Mus musculus: one gene and its partners. The protein of the gene in region 3 purifies or fractionates together with the protein of the main gene of each other region. This does not show direct contact. Links are inferred from orthologs where the notes say so. Each region holds a gene or a part of one and is shown on either strand. Other genes may lie near its edges.

Region 1 (4,277 bases), on a different chromosome or scaffold from region 3:
ATTAAAAGATGCATTGATTATCTGCTAGCAGGGCAATAGTCTTAAAGCCCAAGCTCATGCATGTTGTGAGGAGTGGTATGGGGAAAGGCTTTTTAAAGACAAAACCACAAGATCTTCAATATTTATGCAAATAACCAAATACTGGTCTTTTCTGCCAAGCTTACGTGGGCAAGGCCAAACAATCTTTGGGTATCTGCATAAGTAAATTACACAATTAAAAAAGCAGCTAGTCATATCATAATGCCATGGCTGTGCATTTCTGTATGTGGTCACTGAGTCCAGGTTACTGGGAGCTTATCTTCAAGGGACTGGAGTCAGAGACAAATGGCTAATGGGTACCAAGTTGGATGCTTAGCATAAAATGAAGTTTTGTTAACCCTCACAAGGGAAATACTTCAGCTCTTGTTTGAAAATGCCTGCAAAATTAAGTAGAATTCACAGATACCTGTCTTGTGACGTTCTGCATTTTAAGATTGGAACAGGCTGTCTAGAACATGTCTTCAGCTGTGATTTTAGAGGTCCTCTATAGCTACTGCAGTGTCTTCAGGGTAATCCTAATAGTTTCCAGGACATGGACTAAATTGCAGTTCCAGACCCTTAAACAGCTGACTCTTGACAGATGTCTGAGAAAGCCTTTTAAAAAATCTGTTTATAATAGACTGAAAGAAAGCTCAAGAAAGAACTAATCATATTTATACACAACCCATGCTCCAATGCCCCAGGCAGGTGTCTGGTTTTTCTCAGTGTTACTTGATGGAAATCTTAGATAAAGGCAACATTATTCAAATGTAAGAGAACTAAATTTGGAGTTCAAGTTCTGTAAAGTAAACTAGAGTAGGCAGATCACAGCCCCAGGTATTTGCTAAGGTAATATACAAACTTTCTCTCTTCCATAAGTTCAGGGATAGTTTTGCAGCTTGAGGCAGCCCATAGCAAAAACTAGTTAACAGGGGCACAATTTTCTTGTTGGTTTTATTTCAAAAGGATGACTGTAGGTCTCTGGAAATTGACAAGAGAGGTTTTTACAAATATTTACACTTTAAAGGGGGAAAACCTGAATAAACAACTTTACATTTTCCAAAGAAAGGGATTCCAAGAATAGTCGATACCCTTACAGCTAGAAAAAGCTCTCTTTAAAGTTTGTGATCCTCCTGAGGGAACTGAGAGGAAGTGTTTACTGATTAGATGTAGTTATGAAGTTTGACATCAAGGAAATTAAATCGAGTTTCCTATTGCTCCCGTTTCCCCACTTGGAAAGAACTGTAGGCATAACTGTTCATCTTGTTCAGGTTACCCACTCTGGCCCAAGCCTTTTCACTATTAGGAACACTCCTGAAACATGGAAAACCTAGTTGGGACCTCTCAGAGCGTCCCACAGCTACGCGTGCGCAATAGGCTCGAACCTCTGACGTCACTGAGCGCAGCCCGCCCCTACATATTAGCAACCGGAGGCGTCCGTAGCAGCAGTGGCTGCGGGGATGTACGAACTTCCGGTTGTCCCGGCAGGCTGCTGCCGCCGCCGCCGCCGAAGCCACCCGGCGCAGTCTCAGCCACCCGCTCTCCTCCGGAGAGTCGGCTCTGCGGTTCCGGCGCGCCCATGGTCGGCGCTGCGGACCGGGAGGCCGGCCCGGCGGCTGCGGCGTGCTGAGAGGCCGGCGTGGAGACCATGCCGACCCCGCGCGGCTGCTCCGGGCCTTGCCACTTCCTGGCTCCGGCCTTCGTGTTGTTGTTGCTGCCCGCTCTGAGCGGGTCCGGGGCGGTACCGTCGATGGTGGTCAGGGAGGTGCAGGAGTCCAAGTCTCCCAAGCCCGGGCCGCACACGCTGTCGCCGCTTCCTCCGGGCCCCACCGCGGCCCAGCCTCGGGGCCAAGCTCAGTCTGATGCTGCCGGGCTGCCAGGCGCGGAGAGCCGCAATGACAGCATCCCCGGGGCGGGGTCTGAGGCGGACGGCCTCGAAGGGAAGGCCGGAGAAGGTTCCCAGGGTGGCAGCCTGGCCGTGAGTCCCAGTCCTGGCGACAAACCCATGACCCAGCGGGCCCTGACCGTGTTGGTGGTGGTGAGCGCCGCGGTGCTGGTGTACTTCGTGGTCAGGACCGTCAGGTGAGGCACAGCCTCGATGGGCACCCCCTTGCAGCCTAGACCTGGCTGACAGGTGACCTGCTCCGTGAAGCAGGGACAATGTCTGTGACCTGGGCTTGACTTAACCCCTGCCCCCGCCCCAGCGTCAGGAACTGGAATCTAAGACCATCTGGTTGGCTGTCTTAATGGCCTGTGCTGCCTTAGCTGGTGACACAAGCTGTTGCCTTTCCTTTAGAAATCAGTAGCCTAACCTCAGCATCTTGCTCTCTGAGGCTTGCCTCTGCCTTCACAGACCCTGAAGTAGAAGTGCTCTTCCATCCCCAGGAATTTTGATTACAGTGCGGTGAAATACTTCTCTCACTACTCTGCAGTTGGTGTAACTAACACGTTTTGCCTGTTAGAATGCACTCCTATTTCTGAGGCAGGGTACCATAAAAGTAGCGCACAAAGTCCTGATTGGATGTTTCACTTTTGCAAAACTTGCCAATTATGTTTCTTAGATGGTGCCCTTAATCTATCCCAAAGTTAAATTGTCCTCAATTAATTGGGCGCCACATCTCTGGAGAGGTGTCACATAGAGGAAGACCCCCAAGCAGAAGGGGCTAGCTAGCCAAGAGAACAACTGTGGTTTCCCTTTCCCTAAAATGAGAGCAGATGGTATTTTGTGAGATCTGTACTGGTTTGTTTATTTCCTGTTTTCCAAATTACTTCACACTTTCCCATAACTACACACTACCGTTACTTAATGTCCTTAAATCCTCAAAACGAAATGTGGATTTTTAAAAAATAAGTACTTGTAAATGGAAAGCCAACATGGCGTGTCTTAAGTGGTTGATTAAAATGGTACGGTGTTTCTGTGTCGCCCAAACAATCTTATGGAATCTGTTTTTTTTACAAGTCTTCCTTAGCTCCTACTTTACATCTGTTTTCCAAATAACACATTCTCTTACAAGTGTATGAAATACAAAATATTTACTGGTAAGGCTTGAAATTCTACATTGGAACTGATATCAAGAAAATATGTCTTGTCACATTTTAGTGTTGTATATATTCTTAAAAAGAATCAGAAAAGGGTATTAAAGTGCACCCTTTTCCAAGTTGATATGTTTTTGAGGGTGGATTTTCTTTGTATCCATTAACCAAATTTTACAAATGATTTGATGCAGGCACAAATTTGAAAATCTAGGGTCCCCCCCCTTTTTTATTTTTTTGTACTCGGTTTAGGCCAAATGTTAAATAGATTTTGAAGGAAAAAAAGTCACTTTTTACTAGTTTTGGTTTTATGAACAGTTAACTTAAGATTACATTTTTAAAGCAAGTGTTCAATTTGTTCAGAGTTCATTGATGCTAGGTTAGAATCCACAGTTCTAAGCATATAAAGGAATGCAAGGCATTTGAAAGCCCCTCACATAAGCAGTATCACTGAGCTGGAGGCTGTTGATTTAGAAAGTTCAGAAAATCCACACCCACTTTGTCACTGGGGAGTTAGATAATGCTCAGAAGTTATTAAAAGCTCATGACCACCAAAGTGAGACTTCTTGATGATTAGAAATCTTAAAAGAAACTTAAATCATTTTTACTATGCAGTTTTTAATGTAATACTGTACGTAGTGCCTATAAGGACCATATCATTCCTGGTACATAGAAAGCACAGTTATACTGATCGTTTTCTCCATATGCTTCTTGGTTTTGGTATTTTATTTTTATTCCTCCTTATTTGGAATCTTTTATATAAACAGTTGCTGCTGTTGCTTTTCTGTGTTCATTTCCTTACAACTTGAAAGAACTCAGCCTTTTCTGATTCTCTGGGATAATTCCGTATCCTGTTGTATGAGAAGCACCAGATTTAGAACTGTGGCTGATAAAAACTGCACACTCCAGGCAGCATCTCACACGTGGGCGCAGTCCAAGTTCTACATTTAGTTGGCTGTCTAACATCCAAAATGTGATTGGTGCTGACTAAATCTTGGTATATCCAGAACTCGCTCTCTTTACTTCCATATTGTGTTCTTTATCCTCATTATGGTGGTTGCTCATTTTGGCGCCTTTCCCAAAGTATGTGTGACAGAGAACCAGGGCTGCTTACTTGTGCCAAGGGAGTCCATTCCCAGGTCACTTCTGTAACCGATGATGTGGGCTGAAACTGATTATTTTCATTGTAAAATTTTATTATATCAAACTCTATGAGACTTTAAAAA
Region 2 (4,242 bases), on a different chromosome or scaffold from region 3:
TTCTACCGAGGCCAGGCTAGAGCTGTGGGTAAGGGCATCTGAAGCTGGACCTGTTCACTGCTCCCAGTGAGCAGAATCCCTTTGCACTCCTTTATCAAGGAGGTACTTCTTAAGTCTTGCCGTGTGTACCAATGTGGGAATGCGGAAAGCATCCAGCACGGTCCCTGCATGCACAGCTTATCTGCAGCTGAGAGCAACATGGAAGTGAATTTCTCAAGATAGGAACACAATGCAAAGCAACATCGAGGGCAGCCTGCAGTCAGGCCAGCAGCAGAGCCATCCCAGGCTACAAGTGGTAAGGCAAGACTCTGCCACTCAACTCCCTGAGACTTCCATCCTTGCCTTTCTTTCTGGCTCCCAGCTTCCAGTCTCAGCAGCTTACCAGCAATAAAGTCAGCATCTGCAGGAATGGGGGGGGGGGGGGAGGGCAGGGAAGTGTTCACTAGTGCCACACCCCCCCCAACTTCTAAATCTCATCCCGTATCCCACCAAGAGTCCCCAGTATACGTACACACACCATTCTGAGACTCTCATCTGAGAGGCACAGAAGATAGGTGTCCTAACCAAAGTCAGGGTTCAGGTTTCTGGACCAGACTACAGAAGCCTGTCTGTGGTCTCTGCCCTCTTTTCCCACCTACCAACTCCTAGCATCTTCCTCTTCTAGATGAAGGCCACCTCCCAGCAGGTCATCAGAGAGAGAGAGATGGGGAGCCCGATCATCTGACCTCAGTTCCATCATGCTGGCCTTAGGCTCTGGTCCCTGAGACCGGGACTGGACTGATCCAGGACTAAGAATAGGGTAGCTGGGGCACACATCGTGGGAACTCACTGGAGTCTAGAACCACCAATGTTTGTGTTTTTCTTCCTCTGACCTGTCCGTCCACATAGATCTCAGCACCCTAGAGTGTACAGGTTTTTTTTTTTTATTTTAGCTCCGTATGTTCAGACACTGACAAGTTTTTGAAAGCCATGTCCTAGGTACAGCACAGTGGCCCTCCTAAGCATGTTTGCAGCGATGCACCACAACTTGGAATCTAGGTTAAAACACAAACCTTAGGGCCTAAGGTCTCCTCTCATCAGGCCCAGAAACTGATACCATTGTAGAGTTTTTACTTCTTTACAAACAGGTGATGTGAGGGAATACGGGAAGGATGGGGCTAAGTGAGGGTACCTAGAGAACCATCCTCATATTCTTGGATTTCACTACAAATTCCCTGCATTCTACAGGATACAGGTATCCGCACTCCTGACCTTGCACCTCACCTACTGGAGGAGCTCCAGTCCCCTTTTCCCGCGGGTTCAGATCTTTCCGGGCAAGAATCACACCCTCCCCTACTACACACACACACACACACACACACACACACACACACACACACCTCCCTGGTTCTTTGCTCTTCTTTCTGGTCCTGGTGGACTTCTCAAGCTGTCTCTGACCAACAGTAGTGTGTCCCAAGAGGTTACCTGCCCCCGTCGGAAGAACGTTCCCATCTTAGCGTTCTCTCAAAGGGTCCCCTAGTCTCCTTCCTCAACAGGTGCTGGGCCTGGCCACACGAAGCCATCACCAGCTGACCAGACGAAAGTGTAGACAGGACGCCCCCTACAGGCTCAGCTTGCCCCCACCAGGTTCTACTGTGCAGCTTAATCCGCCCCCCAACCCCTCGCCCCAGCTCCGCGGGAGCTCTCGGAGTACTAACACCGCTTTTGTTTCTCCTACTCGCTCAGATGTCTGGAGGGTGATCTCATGAGAGGGAACTGCCCAGCCCAACGAACACACAGTCCCCTTCAACTGCAGACCCTAGGGTTGGAGGCAAAGAGCGCTTATGAGTCAAGCCTTCTCCCCGCCCCTGGGGAGCCAGAAAACACCTCCGGGGAAGGTAGGGGTGGAAGCTGAAAAAATTGGTCCAAGTTGATCTTGGATGTGAAGGCGCTAAGCCAAGGGCAGCGCTCAGCGACCCTTCCCTTACCCACGCCGCCGCCCGGCGTCTTTTACCCCAGAGGCTGGAGACCCGGTGCGCACCACCACCTACGCGCTCTTGCTGAGCTCTGCTCCCACCACCCGCTCGCTGCACTCCAGGGCCAGCCGCCTTCTGGGGATGGCGAGACGCCCGCAGCCCCCTAGTCCCCAGCCCCGGTTGCGCGGGGCCGCGAAAGCCGCCACGTTCTCAGTCGCGCGCGCACGCCGGGCCCACCAAACTTGCAGCACTTTCTCCCTGCCCCCACATGCTGTCACCCTCCCTGCATCCAAGCACCCTGGCCCCTCCGGGCCCCGCACAGGTTGCCATAACAACGAGCAGGAATTCTCCAATATATACAAAGCCCGAACGGTGCTCGGGGCACGCAGCCCCCGGTCGGGCCCCGCGAACCTCGGCTAACAGCGGGGGGCAGGACGCGCGCCGAGGATCCCCGGCCCGCCGCTCACCCGGTGCGCAGAGCGTACTCACAATGAGCGGAATGGTGCGGTCCTCGCGGAGCTGCTCTGGTCTCCCGCCGGCCCTCTGCGCGCCGCGGCCGCTGGAGGATGCTGCATGGGCTCGGTTGTCCTGCCATAAGTAGTAGAAAGTGCCCAGGATCCAGGCTACGGTCAGGATGGCGATGGCATTGGCGCGGATCTTCCTCATGGTGGGCGGACGGGCGCTCCGCGTGGGGCCCGAGGCCGGCGTGCTCTCGGAGCCCGAGCAGGGGAGCTTGCTGCCCCAGCCGTTTGTTGTCGCTTGCGCCGGGCTGCTCAGTCCTGCAGAGCAGAAAAAAGAGAGAGGTGGTGGTGGTGGTTGGGGAGGGGGGGGGGGTGTGATAGGAAGAGACAGGAGCGCAGAGCGATCCTCACGGTCCTAATGCCCTTCAGCCCCGAGCGCGCGCGGCCCCGGGCGCTCATTCATTCGCGCGCCTAGCTGGCTCTGTGCTCCAGACGCCGCGGGCAGCCGGGGCCGCTGCGCACCCGCTAAAGAGCGCGCCCGCTGGGAAGTGGCGCGGGCCTTCCTCCCGCATCCCGGGTCTCAGCGAGACAGACGCGGGGTGGAATGGCGATGAACCAGAGCTGGTCTCTGCTCTCTCAACGCTCGGCTATCTCTCGCCCGTCCCCTGCCCCCGCGTGGCCCTGGTCTGTCTCTCCACCCACACCTAACCCACCGCCGAGCGGACCTGAGTCACCAGCGAAGACGCGCGACCCCTGGCCTTGGCCCGAGTCGCCTAGCTGCAGTTCCCGGCAGCGCTGAGAACTGAGCTCTGGCGCAGGGTTCAACCTGTGTTCAGAGAGTCCTTCGGAGGGGGCAAGGCTAGCGAGTAGGCAGTCTTGACTTTGCACCGGAATCCTTCTCGGAGACCCAGGATTCCATCCGCCTCGGTGGCCCGAGGGGGTGGGGAGTTGGAAGCTGATGCACTTGACACTCTGGAGAGCGAGGTGAAGCTGCGCTGCGGTACAACCAATGCAAGCACAGGGATGCGATCGCTGGACATCTTTCATTACCCTGGGGCTCCTAGCTTTCTCTTAGTTCCTATCCACACCGGCATCGCGGCTCCCTGAACTGTCCTGAGGCGTCATCACCGTTCCGTGAGAGTGAAGGGAGGCCATAGAGGCCAGGCCACAGGGTTCGATTAGTGGACAGAACCCTGTCTAAGAGCCCTCTGACACTTTTCTGACAAAGTGCAAAATAAGGTGGTGAGAGACAGGATAGACATCATTGAGATTCTGATTCTGCGGAGGCCCTGAAGTCGATGAGAGGTGAGAAGCAGGTGTGAATAATTCAGGCTCCAGGCAGAAGACAAGGCGGGCTAGGGCCTGTCAGGCAAAGGAAGACACACACTCGGAGCTCTGAGATACCAAAGTAGATGCTGCGGAGGAAGAAATAATTTATTGCAAACTGGTCTTCAGTAACGAACTACAGAAATGATTCCTGAAAGTATAGTCTTGCAAAGTGGTCTTTAGGAAGGCTTCCCAGAGAAAGTGGATAAATCTGGAGAATAGGAGGGTAATCCCAAAAAGGAAGAGAAGAATAAGGAAAGGGCAGGGACAGCCAAGGCCCTCAGGATAATATCTCATGAGAGCATGCTGGATACTGGCAAAGACCTGGTGTGAGTTGAGACTGGCCAGACTGGGCAAGTCTAGATACTGGAGGATCTTAAATGCCAGGAGCAGAGTGGACAGGGTGGTGCTTTTTGGATGATGTCAGGTAGGTTGACTCTTCGGAAAATCCAAGACAGGTCAGGCTTGCGAATGAAGCCATCTGGGGAATAAGGTAAATA
Region 3 (4,214 bases):
CAGTGTGCACAAAGACCTGTTAGAGAAAAGCGAAGCTTAGGAATGCTAGGATGTGAGTATTTACTCTCCAGGATCGCTCAATCGTTAGACTTTGATTCCCACGACAAGGGAGACGACCCTGACTTAACAACCAGCCATTAGGTTTTTCCCATATGGAAGACATACCCCTAAAGGGCAGTTGGGGCTGGGGTGGATGGGAGTGCAGGGTCACAACCATTGTTAAATCCAGGTCTGCCATGAAATCCTTTGTGCTGCTGTCTAGAAAACCATCATTCCACCAGGTGGACAAGATGACCCTGGGTAACAACTATTCAGAAAGAGAACAGCACCGGCTGCACTCAAAATCGTTCTGGCAGCGTGCAATGTCTTTGCTGTGTAAATCTCCTAGCTGCCTATGTGGCCAGACTTGCAGTCTGCAGCCTCTTTTTAAGTTGCTCAAAGGGTTACCTGGGTCCAGGACCTGAGATTGAAGGATGTCAATGTATGTGAAATGCTTAAGCCTAGCGTGTATATAAGTTAATAAAACCTGGTGGGAGCTGATTGGGCATTCGCTGAGAGCTGGACAACCACCCTAAGAGAGTTCTTCCTTCATCGCTGCGAATACAGAGTGGTCCTCACTAGGAAGGCACACCGCTCTCTAAGAGGGTAATAGATGCCTGCTCTTACTGTCTTCTTTGTATACTCCAACTGCAGGCTGTTCTCCTGTCCTGAGTACTTTATGCTTGGGCTGCCAAATGCAACACTGACCACTCATTTAACTTTACATTTCAAAAAACAGTCATGACATTTGCATGTGTGCATCCCTTACAGGGCACAGGGCATACTTATAATAAGAAACTATTTGTTGTTTTCCTGACATTCAAATTGAACCAGATATCTGGCCTTCATTTTATTGCAGCTAAATCTAGTCAAGGTGTTTTCATAGAAGCCCTGGAGCGGAAAGCCTATGACCTGGGGTGATGCTTCGCATATGTGGCCCTCAGTGGGTCCTCAATATTGACATTGACAGGCTGTAGTCAGCAAGTGAAAGATTGCAAGCTCAAGTAGAATGCAGAGCCTGGGCATCCTTCTAATGGAAGGTATTGACCTTGAGAATAAAGCCATTGACCTTCAGAATGTTGCCCATCTTGACACTGGCTCCGTAGCTCAGTTAGGACCTATGTTGTCATGTTTAGGACATATGACAAAAGATGTAGACAACATTAAGTACGTCAGAACTGATCCAAAGTGCCCCTTCTTTGGGTGTCTGTAGCCTCCCCAAGATTTCCTGGGGTGTGTGCACTGCCCTAGGCCTTCGCCTTTGCATTTGTGGACTTGGGGGAAGGGGAGAGTGCTGCTTTTGCCCGCCCGCCTCTGTTCCTGCGAGCACGGAAGCCTGTGAACCTGAGACTTTATTCTCCAGGCAGGATTCGCCGGTTGCGAAGGGGCGGGGCCCGGCGGTGGAGGGCCACGTGTGCTGGAGTGAAGCAGGAAGTGACCGCGAGAGTGGAGCCGGGCGAGCGAGTGGCATCGGGGGCTGATGGAAGTGGAGAGGGGGCTGGAGAGGGCACCCTAGTGAGTCGCCTTTTCTCTCCTTCAGGCCCGGGGTGCCGGGCAGTCTCGAGAGTGTGCAGCGGCCTGGAGCTTGCAAAGGGGTGCCCTAAGGTGCAAGTCCTGGAAGAGCAGCAGGGGCTGTGACAGGTGGCAGGGGGAGGAGGGTGTTTGGGACCCCTCTGCTCCACCCTAGGATGAGCTGGAGACAGTGATGCGAAGCTCCTGAGTGCACAGCCAAGGGTCTCTTCATTCATTGTTTCATGGTGGTGTGTATAGGGGACAAGGGACCTGTGGTATCAGTGGCAGCCATTCGGAGGCCCCTCCCACCTCCACCTGTGGCAGGTCTGGGGGAGGCTGGAGAGCCGGCAGCATGCCTGCCTCCTGGAGAACTTTTTCATGTTCATGCTAGTGGTCCAGATCCTGAATCTGTCTCATGGGCGTCTCTGGTAAAGTCCGGTCCACGAGTTCTGTGCCAGCTCCCTTAAGCCCACGCAGTGCCTCGCTTTAACTAAACCAGCGTTTTGAAGTGCGGAGGCAACATTTAAAAGACAGGGAAAGAGACAGAAAAGGACAGAAGGAAATTTACTGGAGTCATGGGAGCTGGCTGCTCTGTGCTGTCAGCCCGCTGTTGGCTTCTCTCAAGTTATAGGATGGGTGGAGAATGGTCCCCTGTCCTGGTCACTGGTCCAGTTTATGATGTCAATATCCAGCTCTGGAGAAAGTCTGAAGCAGACTGCCTGGCAAGATTTAACTCCCCCATGGAGTTAAATAAGGTGCAGATTTGGGGAATCCCACAAGTGTGTGATGTCGCCTGCGCCCTGTGCTTTTACGTAGCTCCAACGGCTGGAGATGGAGCCCCTATGGTAGAGTGCTTGCTTACCATGTACAAAGCTCTGAGTTTGATTCCCCAGTACCACAAAAACCAGCTATTGTAGCACACTCTGGCAATTCCGGCTTTGGGAGGTGGAAGGCAGGAGGATCAGGAGTTCAAAGCCACTCTCTGCTACACAGTAAGTTCCAGGCTACATTAAAAAAAAAATCATCTAAGTAGCTCTCAAGAGGGACCAGACATCTGGCTTTCCACCACCCTTAGAGAGTAGCCAGAGTTTTCAAACAGTGAGTGGAAGAAGAGGCGTGCTGGGCTCACACTGTGATAAGTGGTGGGTGGCCAGGGCTCTGAGTTCTCAGGAACTCAGTTATGCAGTGAACTTAGAAGAGTGTTTTCCTATCTCTCTGGCCGCCATGGAGACGCACAACTCCCTTTGGTTTGATTTTGCTGGCTGGCAAATGGGAATCGTTTCTTTTAACCAGTAGCTGTCAAAAGACACAATGAGGTACTTGGGGGATGTTTTACGCTGTGATCTGTCTCGGATAGTGAGACTTGAGAGGATGCTAGCTCCATCTCGGTCTTTGTGTATGTTTAACATTTTACTCACAAGCAACTGGGAGCGATCAGTGTGTTAATGCTCTAGGATTTCAGCTAAAAAACAAACAAAAAAAATCCAACAAATTCAAAAAACAAAAAATACTCAAGTCTCTCATTTTTGTTTTTTGTTAGTTTGTTTTGTTTTGTTTTGACAAAGAATCTTACTATATGGCCCTGGCTGTCCTGAAACTCACTAAGTAGACCAGGCTAGCCTCAAACTTGCAGAAACCTGCTGGTATTTGCCTCTTCAAGGTCTGGGACTAAAAGGTTTCTGCTGCCATGCCCAGCACACACCACTCTTTTGAGGTTGACTTGACTCAGGGAGGGTGGAAAAGGCTATTTTTTTGCTTGATTTTTTTTTTCTTTTTAAAAATTTTAAAATGTGTGCAGTTGCTGTCTTGAGTTCCTCTGTCATGTGTGCCCAACCTGCACTCGGTATAGAGATGTGTGCAGCCCAACACAAAATAGTAAGCTTACTTAGACAATGTGAGATTTGGGGAAGGGTGCATTTTAAAACTACCTCTATGTGTGTGTGTTTTGCGGGGTGGGGTCGGGGGGCTTGTGCATTCCATGGTGCAAATGCCGAGGTCAGAGGAGAGCTGTTGGTTCTCTCCCTCAGGTGGGCGTCAGGAACCAAGCTCAGGTTGCCAGACTTGGCAGTTTTTCGTTATTTGCTTTTTTGCTTCTTGGTTGTGGGGTTCTCCAGTGTCATCGTCAAAAGGCTGCATATGCTTGGAATCCGAACCCATAAATGGTTAGACCTTAGACCTAGCATGGGGGCCCAGCGGGACTCATCTGAGCCCACAGCCTTTTCTGAGTGTGGGCTGTGCCCAGGGCCCTGTCCATACTCTGCCATGGCTTCCTCTAAGGGCAGCTGAGGGAACCTCTTTAGCCCTTGATATGCAGGCATGTTCAGCTCTGAGGGAGCCAAGCCAGGTGGGGTCAGGTCCAGCCCTGTGGATGCTAGAGGGCCGAAAGGGAACTGAATGAGGCCTTTGAGTTGATGCCCACACCTAGCTTGTATGTGTATGTGAGTGCCAGGACACACGGCCGCTTCGCAAGTGGACTTCTCTGCCTTGTAACTTTCCGTAGGCGAAGCCTGACATTTGCAATCTAGGACAGGATGGACAGGATATGGTCTCAGTCTTATAGTTCATTCTGAGGAGGTTCTCTGGGCCCATATGAGAGAGGGCCCTTTCTTTTCTTAGGGGACAGCGGTGCCCCTTCGCCGGCAGCAGCTATGCACAGAGCCGTT

Evidence for each region. The genes of interacting proteins can lie anywhere in the genome.
Region 1: the proteins of Slc39a11 (region 3) and Fam174a purify together in Homo sapiens (co-immunoprecipitation; 3 studies listed by BioGRID and IntAct, counting the BioPlex papers as one, with this or other methods). This does not show direct contact. The link is inferred for Mus musculus from reciprocal best matches to the Homo sapiens genes SLC39A11 and FAM174A.
Region 2: the proteins of Slc39a11 (region 3) and Galnt16 purify together in Homo sapiens (co-immunoprecipitation; 3 studies listed by BioGRID and IntAct, counting the BioPlex papers as one, with this or other methods). This does not show direct contact. The link is inferred for Mus musculus from reciprocal best matches to the Homo sapiens genes SLC39A11 and GALNT16.

The regions. Positions count from the first base shown.
Region 1 is NC_000067.6:95,312,151-95,316,427, forward strand, and holds the start of Fam174a (membrane protein FAM174A precursor), read left to right. Parts: upstream 1-1,477; 5' UTR 1,478-1,666; coding exon 1,667-2,100; intron 2,101-4,277.
Region 2 is NC_000078.6:80,517,548-80,521,789, reverse strand, and holds the start of Galnt16 (polypeptide N-acetylgalactosaminyltransferase 16), read right to left. Parts: upstream 2,801-4,242; 5' UTR 2,622-2,800; coding exon 2,445-2,621; intron 1-2,444. UniProt on the Homo sapiens protein: Catalyzes the initial reaction in O-linked oligosaccharide biosynthesis, the transfer of an N-acetyl-D-galactosamine residue to a serine or threonine residue on the protein receptor.
Region 3 is NC_000077.6:113,563,016-113,567,229, reverse strand, and holds the start of Slc39a11 (zinc transporter ZIP11), read left to right. Parts: upstream 1-1,414; 5' UTR 1,415-1,519; coding exon of another isoform or gene 1,520-1,554; exon of another isoform or gene 1,555-1,644; intron 1,645-2,367; coding exon of another isoform or gene 2,368-2,543; intron 2,544-4,214. UniProt on the Homo sapiens protein: Zinc importer that regulates cytosolic zinc concentrations either via zinc influx from the extracellular compartment or efflux from intracellular organelles such as Golgi apparatus. May transport copper ions as well.